Linked DNA regions of Drosophila melanogaster. The protein of the gene in region 3 interacts with the protein of the main gene of each other region in a pairwise test. Each region holds a gene or a part of one and is shown on either strand. Other genes may lie near its edges.

Region 1 (6,090 bases), about 14 Mb from region 3:
AATAATAAATAATAAATAAAAATTAAAATTTCTTTATATGTAGTAGTAGACCATTTTACAACGAATTTGCCCATAACTCTAAATATGTAATTTCGTTTTTTGGATAAAAATTATGTTCGGCCCGTCTTTAAGCACGAGTACACAGTTACTCGTTTATTGTATAAACACGCTCATTCTATAGATTCTATATAAAGATTATTACGTTCTCAATTTACCGCGATTGGAGTGAGAACAATATTGGGCGACACTACTAATAAAGTGGCTACATAGTGCAAAACCAAAGACACTAGAATATTCTAGTGTCTTTGGCAAAACCAATGTATGGCCGTTACGCATTAGAGGGCTGCATAACACCATTCAAACCATTCAATATAACAGTCGTGCTGAAATGAACTAAGTGAATTCGGCTCGTTTCGCAAGTGATCGTGCATTTAAACGCGCTCGTTGCCGACATCAATTCATTCAATTTGATCGGCACATTCTGAAACGAATGAAGTGAAGTCCGAGTAAAGTAATTGGGTGTTTCGAATGTCTTGTCTGCGTATGTGCACATTCGCACCTACCAAAGACTCTAGAATAACAAGATACGTAACGGCCATACATTGGTTTGGCACTAGGCAGCCACTTTTTTGGTGACGGCCAAAATTACTCTCTTTCCGCTCGCTTACGATGAGAGCGTAAGAAATCTAAAAATAGAATTTGCTTGCTGGTGTGAGTAAAAACAAGAGACGAGAACGCGTATATGTGTGCATGTTGTGTTAGAAGACGATTTTCGGGCCGAAATCAATTCTGATCGAAGAAACGAATTTACACATTTGTGGAGTTTTGGCCAATTTCGTAGCAATATGATGAAATTGAGAGCTTTTTAAAAATATCAAATTGGAATAAAAAAAATGAAACTGAAAAACAACTAAATCTAATGTGAATTTTAAATAATAAAAATTGATCATTTACATACATCATATTAGGTCAAATGACTAAATAAATATACGAAATAATTAAAGCAAATACAAAGGAAATTATTATAACTACTGTAAGTTAAAACATAAATTATCCAACAAGACATTACATTTAGAAATAAATATTTCATAACAGTAGTAAAATAAATCTAATACTCTAATGACAACTAATCTAATATAGTCATTTTTAAAATTTATTTTTTTTATTTTTTTTACGTTAAGGCAATGCAAAACAAGAATTTTTCGCATAGTGCCAATTGATCAAAAATAATATAGATATAAAGTCCAAGAACTTCTAAGGTGAAGGGCATATTTTGTCAAATTTACAATGCATGAGCATAAGTGTGCACACATGCAGTTGTCTGCTATTACTGTATGCGTAGAAAAGAGCTCTCGCTCGTGTGCCAAAAAATCGTATGGCGTTACGCATCTTGTTATTCTAGTGTCTTTGCACATACTATGTGCGTGTTAGTTTCAATAAAAGACAGTTATAGTATGCTTAGTTCGTGTTTTTATATTATTATTCATTATTAATTAAATGATAATACATTATATTCTTATTTTATAAATATACTAATTTTTAATTTTCAATATTATTATTAAGAAACATTATTTTATTAATATTTTCTCAATTTAGAGAGATGGCAGAACGTTTGTATTTTATTAAATATCGAGCGTCTGAAAATGCTCTTTCAGAGGCAGCGCTTGTTGGTGGTATGCAAAAAATTTTGCAACTGGCTTTATATAAGTTTGGGAACATATTTTTATAATCGTTCCACCAAGCCTCGATAAACAATGCGTCGCCTGATGTTAGATATACAAACGATTCTATTATTTTTTTTTTACTATACCATTTAAAATATTCAAAATTGACAACACAATTTGGTAAGATCGCTAAATAATCTATATAAGACAAATGCTACAATATTATTATATTGTTATAATAACCATAAACATAAAAAAAACCAACTTTGACTTCATCCGCGCTATCCGAACTCATTTTACCCAATGACAACATTAGGAATTCAGAGTACTCTGAATTACCATTGAAAAATCATTCGTTTCATTCATTCTTTGAAGACATTCAGTTAGTTCATTTCGATTGGACTCCTTAAAGTCCGAATACATACGAAGTGAACGCAAAGAGAACGCGACCAACTGAATGCCATGTATTCTGAATAGGCAGTAAAACGAATGGATACTCTAATTGCAAACAAAGAGAATGGTGTTATGCCCTATTACGCATCTTGTTATTCTAATGTCTTTAGGCGTAAATATGTATGTAAATCGAAAGTTCATTCCAATCTCAACATATCTGTAAAAGGGTATACTAGATTCGCTGATCACACTTTGATAAATTTGTTGATATTGTTAAATTTTTGTTAGCATTGTATATTTTTATCGATTTGCTAAAAAAAAAATTTGCCACACCCACTATACCGCCTTAAACCGCCCAATACTGCCATGTCCACATTTTTTGAAAAATTGTTGGATATTTTTTCATAATTTTATTGGTTTTGTATATTTCTATCGATTTGCCAAAAGATTTGCAAATTAAAGACCTAAAACCGCGCAAAACTGTCACGTCCACATTTTTGAATAGTTTTTAAATTTTTTCTCATTTTATTCCCTAACAAGCGATAGATATCCCAGAATAGTTCGGATAGTCGAAGAATTCGAATATAGCATTCTCTCTTGTTCTTGATTTCGTCACTAATTATTAAGGTCCCATGTTTTATATTCCACTATTCCTCAAATGCCGCAATCTTGCTGACGCTATCTTGACACACACTTTAATTGTTTATGGTTAAAGATAGATTTATACCTGATAGATCTACCAATATATTTCTTTGATAACTTTTCTATACAAACGTCAATAATGTGTGGAATATTTTGTTCAGTCGTGAACAATGTTCCTTTAAACTCCTTTAATATTTCTAGCGCTCTGAAAGTAATTCTGAAAAACCGCGGTCCTGATGTGCAAGACGAGGTGGTTATAGATTATTGTTTTGGAAAAATTTTATTTGCTGGCTTCGTGTTATGGCAACAAGGGGAAAGTGTACAAAAGCAACCTGTGGTGGAGGACGATTTTATATTTCTTTTCAATGGAGACATTTACAATACTTCAAAGCCTGAATATATGTCTGACACGACTTGGATAGCGGAAAGGCTAGCTGAATGCCGTTGTAAAGAACAGAATATTTTGAAGATACTTAAGCGATTGGAGGGACCACATTGTTTAATAATTTATGACAAACGAGAACAAATCCTTTACTTTAGTCGCGACGCACTTGGAAGAAATTCACTATTAATTGAACGCATTTGTAATGGCTTCCAATTATTGAGCACATCACATTTTGAAGATAAAAAAATATCACTGGAATTGCCCCCATTGGGTCTTTTTCGAGTTAAACTAAATGATCTGAATTCGTGCGTATTGTATCCATGGCAGCCCCTCAATAATTATTCGACTCAGCTTTTACGCAACCTTGATCTTGCGATTGGGTGGAAAACTGCAGTAGAGAGTCCAATGTCGCCAGATTGGATGTTAAATTGCAACCCCGCATTTAGTTATAACTTCTATGAATTTCAATACATCAAGAATAACGTGAACCTTTATAAAAACTTAATAGATCAGTCAGAAATTAAGTATACTCTATCTATTCTCCATACACTGCTATCCGATTCGATAAAAAATCGTGTTAGAAACATGGCTCCATTTTGCAGACTCTGCATGCAAAAATTAAATATATCGCCTCCATGCAGACACGCAAAATTGTGTATTCTATTTTCGGGTGGCCTTGACTGTACAATTTTGGCCTTGCTGGCCAACCAATTTGTACCAGTAAATGAACCCATCGAACTTATTAATGTTGCTTTCGAAAGCGTTAAGGGCCAAAATATATCGGAAAAGCTTTTTGATGTACCAGATAGAAAAACGTCATTAGTATCTGTCAATGAACTAAAACAGCTTTGTCCGGAGAGGTGCTGGAATCTACTGAAAGTGAATGTAACTCGACTTGAATTGCAGCAGCACCTAACATCACGTATAAAGCATCTTATATATCCGCTAGATACGGTATTAGATGAGAGTCTTGGATGTGCCTTCTGGTTTGCTTCGCATTGCACTCACTCTACTGCTAGAGTCGCTCTTATCGGAAGCGGGGCAGATGAACTATTTGGTGGGTATACCCGCTATCGCAACAGTTATAGCCGTTGTCTGGGAAACGATCTGGAGCGCCAACTTGCTGTGCAAAACGAACTTGAAAGGGACTGGCAACGTATTTCGGCCCGTAATTTAGCCAGAGATGACCGCATTATTGCAGATACTGGTAAAACAGCAAGATCCCCATTCATCGAAGAGAACTTTGTAAAATTTATAAGATCGTTAGAAGTGTATCAAAAATGTTGCTTTGGTTTCCCGGAAGGAGTCGGCGATAAATTACTTCTGAGACTGTATGGCTATCAAATCGGTTTGCGAGATGTTGTGTTCTTAAAGAAAAGGGCTATTCAATTTGGGTCCCGAATTGCAAACAAAAAACAAAATGGCTCTCATCAATCTGATAATCTTTAACTTAAGCTTGTAAAATATTCGTGTATGTTATGGTATCTTATCAATAAATAAAAAGTTTAACTGATTTCACAATAATTTACGACGATTCCAGCCTGATCGTAATTTTTTTATCGCACACTTTGGAGGCACAGTTATGCTCGTTATCTACTTATGTAAATAAGCTGGGAAGTTGCGGGAGCCTCTAAGCTCCTCTTTCTCTCTGTTTCTCTGCAATGAAGTCTCTTGTCGTTCACTTTTGTAACATATGCATACGCGTAGCTATGCTCAATTATATCTGTAGCCAACAGAAAATAGACTTCGATCATTCTAAAATCGTCGTGGTATTTAAAATAGCAAATTGATAAGCTTGGGTGATTTCTGCATAAACAATTCTCAGTGCAAATCATACACATTTATTTAAAAATTTATTAAATCACTTTAGCTACAGAGAGCGTTTTCAGGACTACAAAATTTTGACAATTTTTAAACAAGGTGCAATGAAAATTGCAAATTACGTTTGTTTACCATACAAGATTGCAAATATAGTTGTATTTGAGCGCGGATATAGGTGAGTAACGGACTGTTGCCCCTAATTTGCGCCAGTTTGCTGTAAGTTCCATCTTACTCTTGACATATTGACATTGTTAAAATGCAAGGCGACTGTAATATATAATAGCGGACGATTACGTTCTTCATGTTCTGATCGTTGATCTTCAAGAAACATTTAGATTAAAAATTCGCAACAAGGTCGAAAACTAGATTTAGAACATTTTTAAGAGCTTTAAAAAATCATTCCGTTGATATCGCATTACAACTCTCTCTTGGGCAACTTAATCTGGTCATATTTAACAAGAAGTTTTCCAAAGTCCACCTTTTTAGTTCTTCCTTCCCCACCTTCTCCGTTGAAATTTGTGCCATTATCTGAGAATATTTTCTTCGGTGTTGCTCGTCGAGACATTAAGTTAGTAAGACACATCGCACAAGAGCTGGTATCCAAGCTGTAGTATATTTCTAATTGAACGTTTTTCCCACGGTCACGAGGATATATCCAAAAAATCTACCCCGGTGTAGGTAAATGGCTTCATGGCGACCCTGGCAGGTGGCAATGGTGACATTTTGGCGGAATTGTTTTTACATCTCTGACAACATTTTCGGACCGATTTATATACGGTATCTCGTTGAGCTTCTCTGAACTGTATACCCTTAGCGTACTTAATTTGTTCAAAGGTTACAGTCTTCACAATTTTTTCAAGTTTGCATCTAGTTCGAAGGGTGGCTGGCTACGTATAGGAGAAACGTAGCGGTGGCTCTATATAAAAAAAACCCTCGTCGTTTACTTGGATCGCTTGTATGTTTGATATCTTTACCACCAAGTTCGTTTTTCGAATCTCGTTTCGCTCGCTATCCGAAACGGTGCGTCCAGTGTGCTTGTCTGGTTATCGAAGAAACAGCGGACCATTAATACATTAGGCGACGCTTAGGGTTTAGAAATGAACTTTGTTGCCAAGTCTGCTACGTTTAGCTTCGTCGGAACCCAGCGCCATTGATTAGCGCTCGTGGTCTCCATAATTTCTCAAG
Region 2 (6,010 bases), 7.1 Mb from region 3:
AGCATAGTAAGTTAAGTGTAATATAAGCATTTATTATTCTCTTAACCCTTTCCCTGTACTTAGTCACTGTTCCCACCTATATCCTGGGACCCAACCAAAGGGAGCATGAAAAATACTTTGAAAATCTGACGGACGGTGAAATCTGCACCAATCTTACGTATCTTGGTCGACGTGGGGTCTACACGCTGAGCAGTGGTGTTAAAATTGCCTATCTAAGTGGTTTGGAGGCACAGGGCACTGCAGATTCCGCTGGCTCGGAACACGAGTTCACCAAAGCCGATGTCATCGCTGTGAGGAACTCATGTTTGGTGTCCAAGAACTGCTCCACAGAGTACCGCGGTGTGGATGTGCTCCTAACATCGCAATGGCCCTTTGGTATGCAGGAGAAGGAAAACGTAAATATACATCTAGAGCACTTGTTACTGTGAAACTAACTAATTCCTCTTCTCAGGCCACAGCATCCAAGTTGGTATCATTTCTTTGTCGTGAAATAAAGCCGCGCTATCACTTTTGTGCCATTAATGGAACACACTACGAAAGCGCACCCTTTCGGATGCCCAAAGATGAGACTACCCAGTTTGAACTGTGCACTCGCTTCATTTCCCTTGCGGAAGTGGGAAATGCCGAAAAAGCCAAGTACATCTATGCACTCAGCCTGAAGCCAGTAGACAAATCACGCTTATTGGACCTAGCGCAGAAGACAACAAATGAAATTCCGTGTCCTTTCATTGGCTTGGACTTAGGCGGAGCTATTGGCAAGAATGATTCGGTGGGTAACCTTTACATATCTATAAGTACTCCAAGTGACTAATTATATATTCTTTCAGTCAGAAAACCGACAATACTTCTACGACATGGATGGTGGCAGACGCAAGCGACAAGGCGGTGATAATAACAAAAGAGATAAACGTCCTAGAATACCGCAGATTGAGCAAGGTTTGTCTAGTACTTAATTTTACAAGCTGCATCCTTAATACTATTCCTATATTTGTAGATAAATGCTGGTTCTGTTTATCCTCACCTGATGTGGAGAAGCATCTCATTATCACTGTGGGCGAACATTTTTATCTTGCTCTGGCCAAAGGACCGATTAACAAACACCATGTCATGATATTGTCCACCAAGCATGTGCCCTGCGCTGCTCAACTAAGTCCAGATGATTGGAAGGAGCTCAACAAGTTCAAGGCAGCTTTGCGAAAGTTCTTCAAAACGTTAGGCCAAGTGGTGTGTTTTACTGAACGGCACTATAAATCGGTTCACCTACAAATCAACGCGCTTGCCTTTGAAGAAGGCTATGCCTGGAAGATAAAACATAGTTTTGAGGTATGCTCACGACATTCAACCTTTTATAACATATGATGTATATCCCACAACATTGCAGGATAAGGCGGAGGAATTTAATCTGGAATTTGAGACACTTCCCGCATTGGATTCTGAGAAAATGCTGCCTGAAATGGGACCTTATTTCCTGGCCGAGTTACCCGACGATAGCACACTTATAACGCGGCAAATGAAACACTTTCCCATTCATTTCGCAAGGTGCGTTAACTTCTCGATTTAAGCTACCAACTCTTGACTAAACTCATTTTTTCAGGGACGTGTTCTGTTCGGAGAATCTTCTTAACTGCGATGAAAAAGTGAACTGGAAGGATTGCCTTCTCGATAAGGACGAAGAAGTGGCGTATGTGGAAGATTTCCGAAAGGCTTTTGCGCCCTTTGATTTTACAGACGATTAAGCAAAGAACATTGTATGTATAGTAAAAAGTTCATATCGGTTGTAATTGCTGAGCCCTTGCTAACAGTTCATCCATGTAAATGCTAAAACTACAATTTAATTAAAAACGTATCCGTAAAGTCGTTGCGCTTGAGTAATTTAGGAGTCACGTTGGTAGATTTTGTTGAGTATTTGCAGGAAGGTCTGGTGAGGCACCCCGCGTGAGGTTTGTTGTATGTGCGTTTTAATCATGTTGTAGGATTCCTCCTCGAAAATGGCATAGGTGGATGGCAGTCCAAGTTCCTTGTACAGTTCTTTCACTCGCTCCACTTTAGCTGGTTCTGCAGGTTAATATTCAAAAGTCAATGTCTAATTGTGCGGGTTTGCTAAGCTAGTTTTACCTTCTTTGCCATAGCAATCGACCATGATTTGCTTTTGCTCGACATTGGCTCGCTGCATTGCCACCACTGCCAGCCACGAGCACTTGTTGTCCTGAATGTCGGTTCCAATTTTACCAGTCACTTCCGGATTACCGAAGCAGTCGAGGAAATCATCTTGAACCTGGAAAAAGTTGCCCATTTCTAGGAGAATGGTCTTCGATTGACGGAAGGCCTCTGCGTCTTTATAGCTAAACAATAGAGCGGAAGATTAATAAGCGGAATCTTATATATGTATGGCCATTACTTACCCAGCCAAGTGCAAAGCAAGTGCGAATGGAAGGTAGAAGGAGTAATAGGCAGTCTTATTTTCGACAATTGCTTTGTAGTTTTCCATTGTGAATTCCGAGACACAGCGGTTCGAGTTCAGTTGGTCCAACGATTGTCCGCAGGTAGTGATGTATGTGATTTCGTGGAAGAGCTCCATTAGGGCGACATAGCAGTCCAAGTGGCTGAAGTGCTTCTTGAGAATGGCATACATGGCGTTTTCAATCATAAGAGCATCGTTAATGGCAGTCAGGCCCACGTTCTCCACCTTGTGCCAGCAGGGTTGGCCGCGTCTGGTGGTGCTGTTGTCCATCACATCGTCTGAGATGATGAAAAAACTTTGGAGCTGAAAAGATGATCGATAACTTTGTATTAGGAAAACTATTTAATGCATAAAACTCCTACCATTTCCACACACCAGCCCAGATACTGGGCGAGCTTTATGTTCTCCGGCGTAAGATCCTGGGTGGGCACTAGATTCTTATACGTGAGCACGGTGAGGATGCCGCGGTTCTTCTTGCCCCTGGGCACATTGTACTGGAGGACTTGGGCGAACCATTTGGCTGCGTCGCTGCAATTGTATGCCTTCGTCACGGTGGTGATGTCACGCACAAGATCTGCACATCGAAATATAATTAGCATTAGTATTTGCATGATAATTGTTACTGGGCATAAATAAACAAATCTCACCTGGGAACACGGCCATAAAGTCGCGACTCTCATCTTTCGACACCGTGACGCGAGCGGCAATGGGAACCGAGTGATTTTGGAGCGTCGATAAGGTTCTGTGGACAAAACAAAAGTCAAGAACAATAGAGCCCATAACTGACACCACCAGGCAGGCACAAATACATACACACACACATGCACGCATCTATGGTCTACGTGACTGCATAAGCGGCTCGATACAAACTTTCTCCCCCACTTGAAATCAAGAAAAAAAGACCCCGAAACTCCTTTTCGAAAATCACGCCCAAAACAGGCCTCCGATACATGCATACCATGCCCATGCCCATACCGGTCGAAATGTAAACAAAACAAACAGGCAAGGCAAAGGTCAAGTGCGAAAACCGGTAGATTGATTACCTGCTAGTCTTCTTCAGCTTCTGTTCGTTGACCAGTTCGGTGGGGAGGCCGCCAATGGTGTCCATGGACTTGATGATGGGCTCTGCGTTGACCTCGTCGCTGGTAGAGATCAGGCGTTGCAGGCGCAGCGGGCTGGCCAGGATCCGCTGCTGCGGCAGGAGCATACGGGCCAGTTTAAACATTTTTATTTAAGATTATCGGCAGGTAACTATCCGCTTCACAAAACGGCAATTCAACTTCGGGTACCAAATTGCCAGTGTGACTGAATCTCGGTTCGCAAAAGAACCCACCTTAAAATTTCAAATAACCATAATACGTTTATAGCAACTATTTTATAGCTGACTTTTATTTTTCGAGAATTTTGTGAAGGTAACTTATAAGTTAAATTTTTAAACATTTTTATTTAGTAAATTCAGGAACAGCAAATGATTTACTTTTGCTGAAATTATTAATTTTATTGCGTGTTAATTAATTAAATGCATTACTATATATAAATCAAAATGCTGACGAATTTAAACATGATGCAAATTGTCGAATATATTTCGATATCAATATCTTCAAATTATATTTGACACTCTGCTGCTACATTTTCGGTCACACTGTTTCGATGTCCCATGAACAGTGTTGGAAATGGCCTGACATACACCAAAGGCAAATTGGCAGCTGAAAACACGAATTAAACTAAAATGATGGATGAGCAGCTAATTGACGAGGTAGCGCAGCACGGAGTGATCTACAACCGGCAGAAGTACTACCTCAACGGCGGCGCCAATGGTGGCAAGTACGAGACGAAGGACGAGGCCTGGCAGCTGATTGCGATGAAGCTGCGCACGGATGGTGAGGAAGACGCGCTCCTCCGGCAGATCCTCTATATAAATGTTGCCCTCCTTTCCAGTGGACACGTGCAAGAAGCGGTGGAAGTACCTACGCGAACGCTACGTGTCGCAGCGGAAGCAGGGCGATCCACCTGTCTACGAACACCTGTCGCGTCCATACCTGGAGAAAATGAAGTTCTTGGACCAGCACATCCAGCCGCGCAAGTCCTACCGCCATGTGCCGAACTTCCTAACATCTCCACAGTCCGCCAACAGCTCCGGCTACAACGAATACCAGGTTGATAAGTCCAATGGCTCCATGAAGAATGTGTCTCAGTTTGGCAGCTCAGGGCAAAGTCATCTTTACCACCAGCCGGATCAGCAACACGCAATGAGTGCTCTGAGTAACGTTGCTGCATCTGCGCTGGAAAACGTCAATGGCCAGGTGAAGATCGAGGCGGACCAGGTGTTCAGGGATTTTGCGGCTGCCGTGGCCTCACAGCAGCTCCAGCACATATCACAGTCACAAATGCAGCAACAGGCGGCGGCCGTTGCAGCTGTAATGGCTGATTCCTCGCAAGGTTATCAGGATCAATACAAGGATGGCTCCGTGGGCATGAACGGGGCCCAGAACAGCGCTGGCAGTCTGACCTCAACATCATCCTCGATGAAATCACCGCTGTCGTCGCCGCTGCAAGGAATTGGGGCAGGATCCCATCATCCTCAGCAGCAGACGCAACAACAACAGCAGCAGCAGCAGCAACAAGCGCAGCAACAGTCGCCGGCATCTGAACAGCAGCTTCCGGTGGTACATTCCTCTTCCAGCGCCACGGGCGCTTCCATCGGCAACAGTTCCACTCTGCAGATGCAACAGTCACATGTCTATAACCCCAAGGGCGATGGTCTAGACTCTTCGTCATCGAGCCATTTCCATATGAAGAAACCCCGTATTCAACTAAATGGCAATGCCCATAACCAGATGACCAGCAATGGTAGTCACTTTGGCAATGACTCGGACGACGAATCCGATGAGAACAGCCATGATCTGATGGAGCCGCAGGCTATGATGCAGCAGGAGAATCACTACAGCAATTCGATGCCCATGCAGCGGGGCAATGGAAATGGGAATAACAGTAGCAGCAATAGCGGGAGCAACAATCCCAGCGGCAATAATAGCCACAACAACCAGCAGCAGCAACAGCACCAGAACATGTTTCCGTCAAACACGGACTTCCTTTTCCAGTTATACCAGCAGTTCCCACATCAGGCCAGCAGTTCGCATCCCGCAAACTTCGGGAAATTCCAGGCGCCGCCCAATCATCCGGGTGTGCAGCGGTTGTCTGAGCATTTGCTGGGAGAATTAGTCACCACGGAACTGCTGAAAATGAACAAGGAACGGAAGAAAAGTGCACAGAAACGGATCCTAGAAATACTATTCTTCGACGATTAAAGGGCTAGCTACTAGGTATTTGTAAATAATGTAATCTATTATCCTTAACTTATGTTATTCGTTAGACGGTTGTCAGATAATAGTAATTGCATCGCTTTGGTCAAATTTCCCACCAATGAGTCATTTGCAAAGCTCTACGTTCTACCGAACACTTTTCAAATGTGCTAGTCAAGACCAGCAATTGGGATTCCATATCTGCATTAATTTATGTTTTTTTATATATGTTTAAGAATATAATGAT
Region 3 (4,891 bases):
TGGCTTCAGGTGCTCCTTCTCCATCAGATTGACGATCTTGTAGTCGAAGTCCAAATTCAAGGCTCTCAGCGTGAGCAGCACCGAACGGACCGGAGGACTACCGTCGATTCCGTAAAGCGTAAGTTTTCCCATGTCTGTAGTGTGCTGTAAGGCGATTGACTAGTAACTGCTTACTAAACGTCGAAACTTGGGGCTTTATATAGCCACCAGGTGGTGCTCTTCACTTAAGAGAGCTTTGCACATCTGTGATGACTCTGCAGTATGTCATACTCAATGCTTGGAACCCACATATCTCTTAGCTGTCGTATACGTAATATATATACACTTCACGTTTTAAAGCTTTACAATACAGAGCGCTTTTGGTCACATATTAAACATTTCTATTTGTTTACTCATCGTTTTGGGATTTAAAGACCATTGTCATAATTTAACCGATAAGCCAGTTGATTATATTAAACAGTGAAACAGCAATTTTTGGAAATTAACTATCTATAAGCAAAAAACTGATCATTTAAGTTTTTCCATCTATATATTTCTCTTTTATTATTTCTCTCTTTAGGATTCAGTACGTAATGATAGTTTTATTATGATTCTAAAAATGATAGGTTTTTGTTACAAATCAGTTGTAGTACTATTCGATTTGATTTGTTTTTATGGTATTTATGGCATTTGATGGTATTTTTTTTTTAATACAAATTACTATTGCTCCAGATTTAATACGGGTTTCAATAAATTGATATACTTCTTCAAGCCCCGCAGATTGTCTTCCTCATAGTGGGGCAACTTAGAGAGTCGTTCGAACCAAGCAGCCACCTTTGGATACTTTAACTCATCCAGATCAAGAACAGCGGCCAGCGAGGATGCAGTAGCTCCGCAGCATAAATCAGCTATGGTCAGTTGCGACCCGGTCAAATAGGGATTATCCCCTAGAAAGTTCTCCAAATGGCCATATGCATCTTTAATGTTGTCCACCTTCTCCTTGGGTACCAGGCTTACTTGGCGAAGAAAATAGGGTATACTGACATTTCGCAGCGACATAAACAGAATGCTGGCATCAAAGAACAAACGCTGATCCACCTGGGCGCGCAACACCAGATCCCTGGGATATAGCTCATCCGAATTGGCATACTTGTCCACCAGGTAGCAGACAATAGCATGTGAATCCCAGATAAGGGCACCATTATCTTCGAGGAGTGGTACGGTGTGCTGCGGGTTCTTTTTGAGGAACGCATCCTTAAAGTGATCTCCTGCCAGTAGATCCATTTCCTTGTATTCGTAGTCCAAGTTTAAGGCCCGCAAGGTCAGCTTGCAAGCGCGAACAGGAGGACTAATATCCATGCCATACAAAACCAATTTATCCGACATGATGCGATCACCAGAGAGACCCAAGTTCCACTAAATTTGCCACACACAGAAATCTAAACGAGCTTAACTAAACAACCCAATTGGGTGCGCTGAGCTTGCCCCATTTGTATCTTAAATAAACTTTTGTAATTGTACACTGACGATATCATAAATGAGCGATAAAAATATTACGGTCGGGTTCCCCAACTGTGAGATAATAATTACTGACTCAAGTCCCATATTAAAGTTTATAAATTTCAGTATTTATTATAAATTCAAATATTTAAATAAATATAAATTAAATAAAAAAATAAATTAAATATTTTATATATATGTTATATTTTATTGAAGAAGTTTACGTTTTAGAAATGGATGTGTATGTTGTTAATTGATGGAATTCAAACTTGTGAAATGTCATATTTAAATATAAGTTTAGTTTCACTTGTCGCCCAGCTTGGTCCACTTGCTGCGCAGGAAGGCGACGTAGCTCTGGGCCGGAGCTTCGTTGATCTCCTTGTAGTAGGGCAGCTTATTGAGGCGATCCAACCAGGCGGTGACCTTGGGATATGTAGCAGGATCTATGTCCACGGCAGCGGGCACGGCGCTTACAGTGGGTCCGGTGGACAGATCGGCTAGGGTTAGCGAATCGCCGGCCAGGTAGGGGCTGTTGCCCAGGAACGTCTCCAGCAGCTTCAGACCCTGGTGTACGGCGTCCAGTTTTTCCTGGGGCACTTCGGTAACACCGTTTATCCAAAACGGGCGGCTGACATTGGCTATACTGGCATAGATTACACTGGCATCGAAGAAGAGACGCTGATTGACGATCGCACGCTTGGCCAGATCCTTGGGATACAGCTCATCCGACTTGGCATACTTGTCCACCAAGTAGGCGGCAATGGCATGGGAGTCCCAGATGAAAGTGCCATTATCATCGAGCATCGGTACCGTGTGTTGGGGATTCTTCTTCACATATTCCTCGCTCAGGTGCTCGCCCGCCTGAAGATTCACCTCCTTGTACTCGTAGTCCAGATTCAGGACCTTTAGGGTAAGTTTGACGGTCCTCACACAGGGACTGAGATCTGTCCCATAGAGTACAATTCCAGAGCTCGACATGATACGTGTTGTTTACCCGTCAGTGTTTTTCTTTCGACTGATCTCTCTATTTACTGTACATATATACACACCTTATTGCCTCAAGCTTTTTGCTAAATGAGAGAGCATTTCGTAAATCTAAGATAAAAGCTCGAAACCATGTGTTAAACAGTTAAAAAAAAACCATATATATAATATGTATGCCTATTTCATCATAACAAACATTAATTACCCCCAACTGATAGTTCTGGAATCATCTATATGATACTAATTTTAAAACACCATATGCAGTGGTGAACTACAAAAAACATATACTCATCAAAAACAAAGTAGGTCTCTGTGAACTCAGGAACATTGGTTGTCAGAAGAAATTAATTTAATACAGTTACTTGTTTTATGATTTATTGTAATATACATCTATTTGAATCATGTAGAACCCATGTAAATTTACAATTCAAGTCTTCCTAACGAAGCTTGAAAGTTTCTAAAAGCTTAAAGCTTAAGTTAAGCTGGCATAAAGCTTATCGTTATTTTGGATAAAATTGTATGATCTGATACACAGAAGTAATAATATTAAACTCATAATTTTATAATTATATTTATATGAAAATGTTTGCATAGAAACACTGCTAATGAGTCTGGTTACTTTAGGTTTCGTTTGGACGTTTCTAGCAGTGTATATAAGTAGCCCCTTTGGTGCTCCAACTATGATCAAATAAATCACGGGGACATTGATCAAATATTGACACAGCTAATAGATAGCAGACCGACTTATCCCGGACATTAATAAACAATCAGGCAAACTTAAACTTGCAGCATTATGACGTCTTTGTGGTAATTATCAAGAAACTAAGTTTAATATCTAATCTTATCGCGTTTGAAAGAAATTTAAATTATTTAGACTGCCTTGAGTCAGTTGTGGATGGCACACTGTCTGCTACGAATCTCAATTCAACCAGCTAGAAGGCAATTAGTTAAGCAACCACAATGGCTAACCTGATTCTATATGGCACTGAGTCCAGTCCGCCGGTCCGTGCCGTTTTGTTGACCCTTCGTGCCCTCCAGCTGGACCATGAATTCCATACGCTGGACATGCAGGCCGGCGATCATCTGAAGCCGGATATGTTACGCAAGAATCCCCAGCACACGGTACCCATGCTGGAGGATGGTGAGTCATGCATTTGGGACTCACACGCCATCATCGGCTATCTGGTGAACAAGTACGCCCAGTCGGATGAGCTCTATCCAAAGGATCCGCTGAAGCGAGCTGTGGTGGATCAGCGGCTGCATTTCGAGACCGGTGTCCTTTTTCACGGCATCTTCAAGCAATTGCAGAGAGCTCTGTTCAAAGAGAATGCCACTGAGGTGCCCAAGGATCGTTTGGCTGAGTTGAAGGATGCCTACGCCTTGCTGGAGCAATTTCTGGCGGAGAATCCCTATGTGGCCGGTCCTCAGCTGACCATCGCCGATTTTAGCATTGTGGCCACCGTGAGCACTCTGCACCTGAGCTACTGTCCCGTGGATGCGACCAAATACCCCAAATTATCCGCCTGGTTGGCACGTATCTCCGCATTGCCCTTCTATGAGGAGGACAACTTGAGAGGAGCCCGCTTGTTGGCCGATAAGATTCGCTCCAAGCTGCCCAAGCAGTTTGACAAGCTGTGGCAAAAGGCCTTTGAGGACATCAAGAGCGGAGCTGGAAAACAGTGATGCGGAAGCCATTGTCGCATCGAAAAGAGAGCATTGCCCAAAGTAAAATTGTATGTTAAATGGTATTTAATATGATGTATTAAAACTTACGCTGCTGGCAAAATGATTTAAAATGTATATTATGTTTGAATAATCTTCTTTTTTTCCCAGTGTATAGGCTCACTATATACTGTTCTGAGTTAACTGAAGACTTTGTAGCCATCTAAGTGCTCTTGGCCGGTAAATGTCCTTGATGGCGAACATTTTTTTTATGTTGTATATAAATTACTATCTAGCGTGGAGTGCATTTCCAATGGCAACGCAGCCAAAAGTTTACAACTTTTTTGCGCTCATTAAAATTATAAAATTTTACCCTCCACAAAAGCGACACAAAATAGAAGAGGGCGGGGTAAATGAAAAGCGCAAAGTTTTCCTGCCGTGTCGTGCATGCTAAAGTTGTTAAATCATAATTAATTTATGACGGCGCCATCCGCCCAAGCAGCTAGCCAGCCCAGCTCCGCAGCAAACCCAACTCGCCCCCGTTTTATGCCACTTCCAAATTTGCCTCTTATCTGCGCTCGGGTCTCGAACTCCCCGCCCTTCGCTTGCTCCAAGTCCACAAAAAGGACGCGCCGTCGTTTAAAATACTCTTAAAAAAGGAGCCAAGTCTAAATACCTGCTGGGTGAAGTCCGTTTCCAAGCCCCACGGAAGTCCTGCAGGAGATGCTAACGTGAGCGGAAATTGGAGTCACGCAATCCGAAGATA
Region 4 (6,784 bases), on a different chromosome or scaffold from region 3:
TGGAGGCTTTAAGCAGGACGATCGAAATAGAAAGACAAGAATCTACCTTCTAACTAACCCCACATTTGTTCTCAGTGCACCGTTTTTTTTTTTTCGATAATTCATATGCTGTCTGAACTGGGCGCGTCGGGTGTTCTAATGTCTAATGGGTATTCAAGGTGTTGACCGAGACACTCACATGATTCAGGCGTGCTGCGATCTTGGCATGCTCCTCCTGGTAGGCCTTTCTGGCCTTCCGTTTGTCCTGCGAGAGGTGGGTCAACTTATCGCAGACGACCTCCAGCTGCTCCGCGTTGAACTTGAACTGTTTGGCCTGGTGGTCCAGTTCATCCATGTAGGATCGCCAGGATTTGGAGATCAGGCTGCCTGCAAAGGGATAGAAGGCTAACACGCATTAGTAACACTCATGTGATTACATGACATTTTTTATATAAACTGAACTTATGGTTTTAGGATAGTAATCTGCAGTATATGATGATAATGATGATATTTTCCCAACCACATTTACGTGATAACTGCCTGTTACATTTGCTATTATGAAAATTGTCATAAGACGGTCTCTATCTTCATTAGACACAGTCTTAAAACCCGTAAACCGCAACTAATCCACAGTTTACCCAGACATATGACTCATTTGGAGTTTATCCGCTGAACAGTTGGGTAAAAGTGCAATGAATCATTTTTCTTAAGCCAGCGTTATGCAAAAGTGACGCAAATACCTTGCACAGATTTTTGGAAAATTATTTGCTGAGCAAATCGGAAACATAATACCCACGTCTGTTCCTCTGGTTTTTTTGTTTTTCGTTTTTGGTTAAAATGTTTGCGCTTCGCTAGGCTGCAAAGTCTGAAGTTTAGACAGTAAACTGCACTCAAATCGAGCGATTTAAGTTCATGGTCAAGGTGAGAAGCGAAGCAGATAAACAGTCGGAGAAGTACATATATATGTATATTGTATATATAGTTGGGCTATATCAAATGGCCCGAACTAAATCATTCGGCTACGCTTTTGTGCACTGGTTGGTGTGCGTGTACATTCGCATCATCCAGCGGATACGTTTGTTTGGCCATGTAAACAGCAGGGAAAACATTTCCCAAGCGAAAAGCACTGACATCGCCTGCAAATTATAGCAATTTTCATGTGTTTATCTTCTAGGGGAGCAGAAGCAGCTAGAAGCAAAAGACAGCTGCACTTTGTCGACACTTTGATGAGCTCCGCAGAACGGCAAAGCAGCGAGTGTGCAGGCCAATTTAGTCCAGAGTCCTGGCTGCCCGGCTGCATCCGGATGAAATGACTATGCCACCCAGAGCACGGTAGTTGAAAGCGATTTGCTTGTCTGGCGATTATCTCGAGTCGTTTGAAATATGTAGAGCCCAACGCGTCTCATTTACTTGGAAATGCGATCAAGTCACGCGAGATAGCCAGTGGCCAGTTTCTCAAACCCAGCAGGCTGCCAAAAATCACACCAAATGGAGTGCAGGAAGGGCAGTACAGTATTTCACTCTCCCAACCCTTAGAACAAGATATGCTTTCATGCCATCCCATCTCATATAGGGGCCATTAACAATAACATCCACCAGCTTATCGACACTTGCCATATAACTGCCGCACTTTTACCCTGACTAATGGATGATACTGGCCAGTGGCCACCCAGTGAATGTTGTGAGTAATGCCCAAGAGGTCAATGGGGTTCGAGCATCTCATCGTGAAACTCGGTCCATTTAGCTATAAATTGTTGTCTTTACTATGTTGAACATATGTTTTGTATAAACTCCACCACCCAAATTCAATTTAAACTTAACTTATCTTTAACATATGAATGCAAGCATATAATACTGCACTAATTGTTAAGGTCTTTGGGCCGGATTAAATAAACTAAAATTACGTTTTAATTTATACTCTTTAATAACCGATTCTGCAAACTCATAGATAGCGAACTAAATAAATAGTAACACGAGGACAACGTACTTCACGTACTGGTGGTATCACTGACCAAATAATTGGCTATACAATCTTATCGCACCTGTAGTCTTACCTTGCATTTCGTCAGCCCGATCGATCTTGAGACCCTGCTGGGCCACAGCGGTCAGGCTGATGGCGTACTCCTTGTCGCACTTGGCCTTCATCTGGATGGATCGCTTCATTGTCTCCATTAGCCGGAGTTCGGCATCCTGGCGGACGATCAGCGCCTCGTGGGCGGCGCGACTTTGGAGGGCTGATGAGAAGCCCATGATGCTCTCGTTACTCCCTATTTGGGTCGCGGCTCTCTGTGAGATATGCACATATGTAACATAACATATAATGGATATTATATATAGGCAAGTGATTCAGAACAGAACAGAACAGAACAGCGGTTTTTATCGTGGGTTATGTTTTCGTTTTTTGATATTGTTCTGGGGAGAGCGGAATGCTGGAAATTCTACATGAAACACAGGAAAAAACACAGCGAACATGTGGCAAACACTTGTTGCATGACAATTTGGTTATTCGCTGGCGTTGCTTCTTTATCGCCTCACTAAAAATTAATTATTTATGTCACACGAGCACTTTTGTTTTTCTTTTTACAAAAAATAAACTTTCACATGCGTTGACATTTCTTTGGTGTTTTTTTTTTTGGCACTTTTTACTTTTGCATATGTCACGACATTTGCTAATTACACACGATCTCGTCCCGGCGTTTGATTAACGACTTAATTCGAGTCACTGGCATATGCATTTTTATCCGCTAATTAACGCATTTTCCGCTCTCACCCATAACCGACACTTCCACATGAATGTATATATTTATTTTGTAGTGCTTTTGGTTTTTTTTTTGGTATTTTGAATGCAACAGTTGTCTTCACTTGAACTTTTCCCCAAGTATTTTCCAAAAGCAAAGCGAGCCAAGAGTTGCGTCGCAGTTGCTGCTGCTGCTGTGGTTGTTGTTTTGGTTTCAAAGAGAAAAACTTGTTTTTCCCGCTTGCTGGGCGAGCAAACAAAAATAAACATTGCCCCAAGGAAGAGGAATGAGGTAGGGGGAGGGGTAGGAGCCATGGGGCAGGGGCGAAGTCAATAAGGAAACACAAGCGACAGAAGGTGTGTGCGGCAAGAACGTGTATCTTAAAGATACACAAGGAAAAATAGCAGTTCGATATCTAATCGTATCAGTTGTCACTTGTAAATATTGTCACAGAATTGAAATTGCGTGTTGAATTTCGTATATTTACTCATTAATTTATAAACATTGATTTATACGATCGATCACATGCTATTTTTTCGCTGTGCATTTGCTGGATGCGCCAGAACAGCAACTTGATGCATTGTCTGTATGTGCGTGTGCAGTTTGCCAAGTCGAGTAAAAGATATAAACGGGTTAGACAGCCAGCAGCTAGGGGAGCATCCCCAGCCACCAGAACCAGAACAACAACAACAACAGTAACAACAGTAGCAGCGGCAGCAATAAGAAGATGCTTAACCGTTATATAAATTAAAAATGTAAATAACAATGTTTACAAGCGATCTACACTTCTTGCTATTTTAGGGGAACCACATTTACCGCAGAATTTCTTTGCCGTCGGATTTCACTTGCAAATCGCGTAACTAGAGCACAGTTCTTGGCACAAACATAATTGAATAAGGCTGGTTATCGTTTTGAAGGCTTTATCAGAACTTATTTTGGCACTTCGAGATGCGTGCACTTCACATGGCCACAGAACTCAAAAATCGCGAATGGAGCTCAGCGCCGAGTATCTCGAATTGGTTTGGCTCGGATTGGATCGAATCGAGTCCGGAAATCGGGGAATATTGAAAGCAGGCCCAAACACAGCGAACCGTTCGCCTCGAATGTTCAGCGGAAACTGAGCGCCGGCACTGAAAACACTCGAGATACTCGAAACACTCGGGCCGATGCGGCGAATGAGCAATGCGAGTGCGGCGAAAGAAACAGAGAGAGAGAGAGCACAGTGAGAAAAACCGGTTGCAGAACACCCAGCAAACATTTTCAAACAATAAAAGTCACCATAAGGCAGAAGAGGCTTAATAGTGGGTTTCACCAACGGGATTAGTTATGTTTGCTTACTTTTGCGTTCTGTCGTTCCCATTATTTATGGTATAAGTATATATTTCATATAAGAAAATTCTCCTTTAAGGCTGATATTTGTGTTTCTTTTTTTTTAGAAAAGAAGATCCACGAACATCCAAAAGAACATTTAAACTTATTTGTATCAAAACTATAGTACAGTACTGATTTTTAGGTGTTCCTATGAAATGTTTCATAACTATAACTTTTTGATGTCTTAGAATCTTAATTAGGAACACTTCGCTATCTTAAATATCAATAATTTTTGTCTTATAATTACAACCTTTCTATAAAATTGCAATCATTTCAAGCAAAAAAGGTCACTTTTTCTATACTCCTTCCTGTACATTTTTCCCCAACCCAGCCCATAATTGTTCGTTGGCAGATAGCAATGACTGCTGTAATCGGAGAATTACCAAATTTCCGCACTATTAATTACGCAGGTTCGGCTCTTTCGTGGGACAGCTGACAGGATCTAAGGACGAACACCCAACCAGTCAAACACCCACCCACTGTGAGTCGCTGTGGAAACGGAAGCAGCTGAGCTGTAACCAAAACAAAAGCTATGATAAATGTTATGCGTGGATCTACCCTTTGTTCGTCCTGGGCCAATCACCCCCGCAATTGGAAGCCATCGGTATCTCCATTTAATTTACACCCCCTTGCTTTCGTCGAACGTCAGTTTCAGGGATAAATGCGAAAATGCATTTGCGCATCAAAAGCAGGCGGGCCAATAAATTCATTAATAAATGGGAAAGTGAAAAGCGCAGCAACTCTGACGCTCCTGTCGCTTCACCGGCTCCTGGCTCTTTGTTGTCCTTGTGGTCAGAGATGAGTCCTGTTCTGCGCATAATGCAAACAGTGTTTGCCAAAGTTCTACACTGCGATGAGACTTACTTTTAAGAGTAGAATAAGAGGTACAATCCCTTTTTAAGACCAACGAAATATTTAAATAATTCCATATGCAATGATACTATTATAAACTCAAGAGACTTAATTAGTACTAATACAGATATATCCAGAAGGTATATCCTAGAAGGTACTTGGTAATGCTGAATATATATTATTATTGAATCTAGGAAAGAATAGTTATAGTTTTCTTTAAATCTAATTTTAAATATATTTTTTTGAGTGCCACCAATCCACTCTATAATCCACCACCACCGCCCCCACCTGCGGCTGAATAATGGATATTGAAATCGCATCGGCACTCGAAAGGGTGTGAGATATTGTACTTTATGCCGATTAATGCTACCATGCTGGAGGACAAAACCCCTGCCCATTGATTTGATTGCCGGGCAAATGGCGTGCCACCTTCGCCACCTCTCTTGGCCAGACCACTTTGCACCCAGCCATTCAGTGCGTCTCTTGGCCAGCCTGTTGCCCATTTCAGAGATGCCCTGCTTGCTCTTTTTGTTCCGCCAGCCAGGCAGCCAGTCATTCATCTCCCCGTTGTGTGTGTTTTCTTATGGGTTTTAGGGTGTTTGCCGTTGTCTATGCAACGGATCCGTGTCCCGGGTCCCGGATTGCTGTGTTTATTTTGGTTGGAGCCAGACGGCAAAAAGAAAAAAAAAGGGAAGATTTACAAAGGCGCCTCGGCCTCATAAAGTATTTAGTGAGACGGCGATAGCGACACCAGGCACCTTCCGGTGTCCTGGTGACTGCACAGGATTTAATTCCTTTATTTACTCGTCGTAGTTTCCCTAGTACAAGTCGAATACCGAGCACTGCTATAAGTAGTGAGGCGGCCTAAATATCTGATTCTAATTTAAGCAGACTGGGTCTATTGTGACGCATAGTTGCCTCACATAAATATAAATCTCTTCGGATGTCCCATTAATGTTCGCGTTGCGTTTGCAAGTGCAATTCTTGGCGTTTATAATATGGGGCATTCAGTTTCAGCTGTTCGGTTCGAAGAACAGAAGAAAATGGGTGGCAACAGTTGGCGGCCAATTGAAACTAATGAATAAATGACTTGTGCAGTGTAAGACAGTAAAATTGATGAGAGAAGTTCAACATGGGTCTGAACTCATGGATATATGTACATGCACATATATCTATGTTCGGTTTATATAGCTGGTTGGCCCGGAATTATTCGGCAATGGGAACTTGATGAACAATAGATGACCGGGCTGCAAATTGTGCAATACAGTGACAAATGTATGTAAATGCTTGATGGGCTGGAAGAAGTAACCAGATCAAAACAAAACCATTAAGATACATTGAGCAAGATATACAAATGTATCTGGTATCTTTCAGATGCATTAAGTATCTGAGGATGCTTTGTCCATTGAATCTCTATGAGGATCAGCATCCGTTGGCTATGTAAAGTACCCTATGAAGTGTTATCCCCAGTTTCATGTCAACTATTTGCTTTCCAGACGTAACACCTTTCAGTTAGAAGGTTGCTCCAATGTCAAAAGCCAAGACAGCTCCTTTGCTGCAGCCCGGCTGCTTAGCATTCCAGTCAGAAGTCGGATAGAAGCTATTGAGCGGACGACTCCCATGCCAATTTGTTGCTGTGTGCAAGAATTTCATTTATGTGCACAACAAAAGCAGCAAACAATAAAGACAAGTGCAGCAACAATGGAACGGTAAACGCGCCCAAGAAAACTGGGCAACTCATTTATGGAAATTATTAAGTGCAAGCTCGCGGACCAAAGCGGTTACTTCTCCCAGTCAAACGGCATTATTATGCGTACATATTTTTATGGACAAGTGCGGGAATG

What was found.
Region 1: the proteins of GstE1 (region 3) and CG17486 interact in a two-hybrid assay, tested with the Drosophila melanogaster proteins (one large-scale study listed by BioGRID).
Region 2: the proteins of GstE1 (region 3) and Fpps interact in a two-hybrid assay, tested with the Drosophila melanogaster proteins (one large-scale study listed by BioGRID).
Region 4: the proteins of GstE1 (region 3) and FER interact in a two-hybrid assay, tested with the Drosophila melanogaster proteins (one large-scale study listed by BioGRID).

The regions. Positions count from the first base shown.
Region 1 is NT_033778.4:4,616,228-4,622,317, forward strand, and holds CG17486 (uncharacterized protein), read left to right. Parts: upstream 1-2,802; 5' UTR 2,803-2,838; coding exon 2,839-4,533; 3' UTR 4,534-4,606; downstream 4,607-6,090.
Region 2 is NT_033778.4:11,303,757-11,309,766, forward strand, and holds Fpps (farnesyl pyrophosphate synthase), read right to left. Parts: upstream 3,773-6,010; 5' UTR 3,687-3,772; coding exon 3,505-3,686; intron 3,204-3,504; coding exon 3,109-3,203; intron 3,036-3,108; coding exon 2,824-3,035; intron 2,765-2,823; coding exon 2,403-2,764; intron 2,343-2,402; coding exon 2,116-2,342; intron 2,056-2,115; coding exon 1,874-2,055; 3' UTR 1,755-1,873; downstream 1-1,754. Other genes in the region: CG7741 (uncharacterized protein), read left to right, coding at 1-6, 64-395, 452-769, 828-936, 995-1,323, 1,382-1,539, 1,595-1,736; CG7745 (uncharacterized protein), read left to right, coding at 4,191-4,341, 4,400-5,769.
Region 3 is NT_033778.4:18,395,998-18,400,888, reverse strand, and holds GstE1 (glutathione S transferase E1), read right to left. Parts: upstream 2,497-4,891; 5' UTR 2,458-2,496; coding exon 1,783-2,457; 3' UTR 1,666-1,782; downstream 1-1,665. Other genes in the region: GstE3 (glutathione S transferase E3), read right to left, coding at 1-132; GstE2 (glutathione S transferase E2), read right to left, coding at 700-1,365; GstE10 (glutathione S transferase E10), read left to right, coding at 3,424-4,146.
Region 4 is NT_033777.3:9,390,708-9,397,491, forward strand, and holds the start of FER (FER tyrosine kinase), read right to left. Parts: upstream 3,840-6,784; 5' UTR 3,534-3,839; exon of another isoform or gene 3,183-3,533; intron 2,266-3,182; 5' UTR 2,230-2,265; coding exon 2,034-2,229; intron 367-2,033; coding exon 179-366; intron 1-178.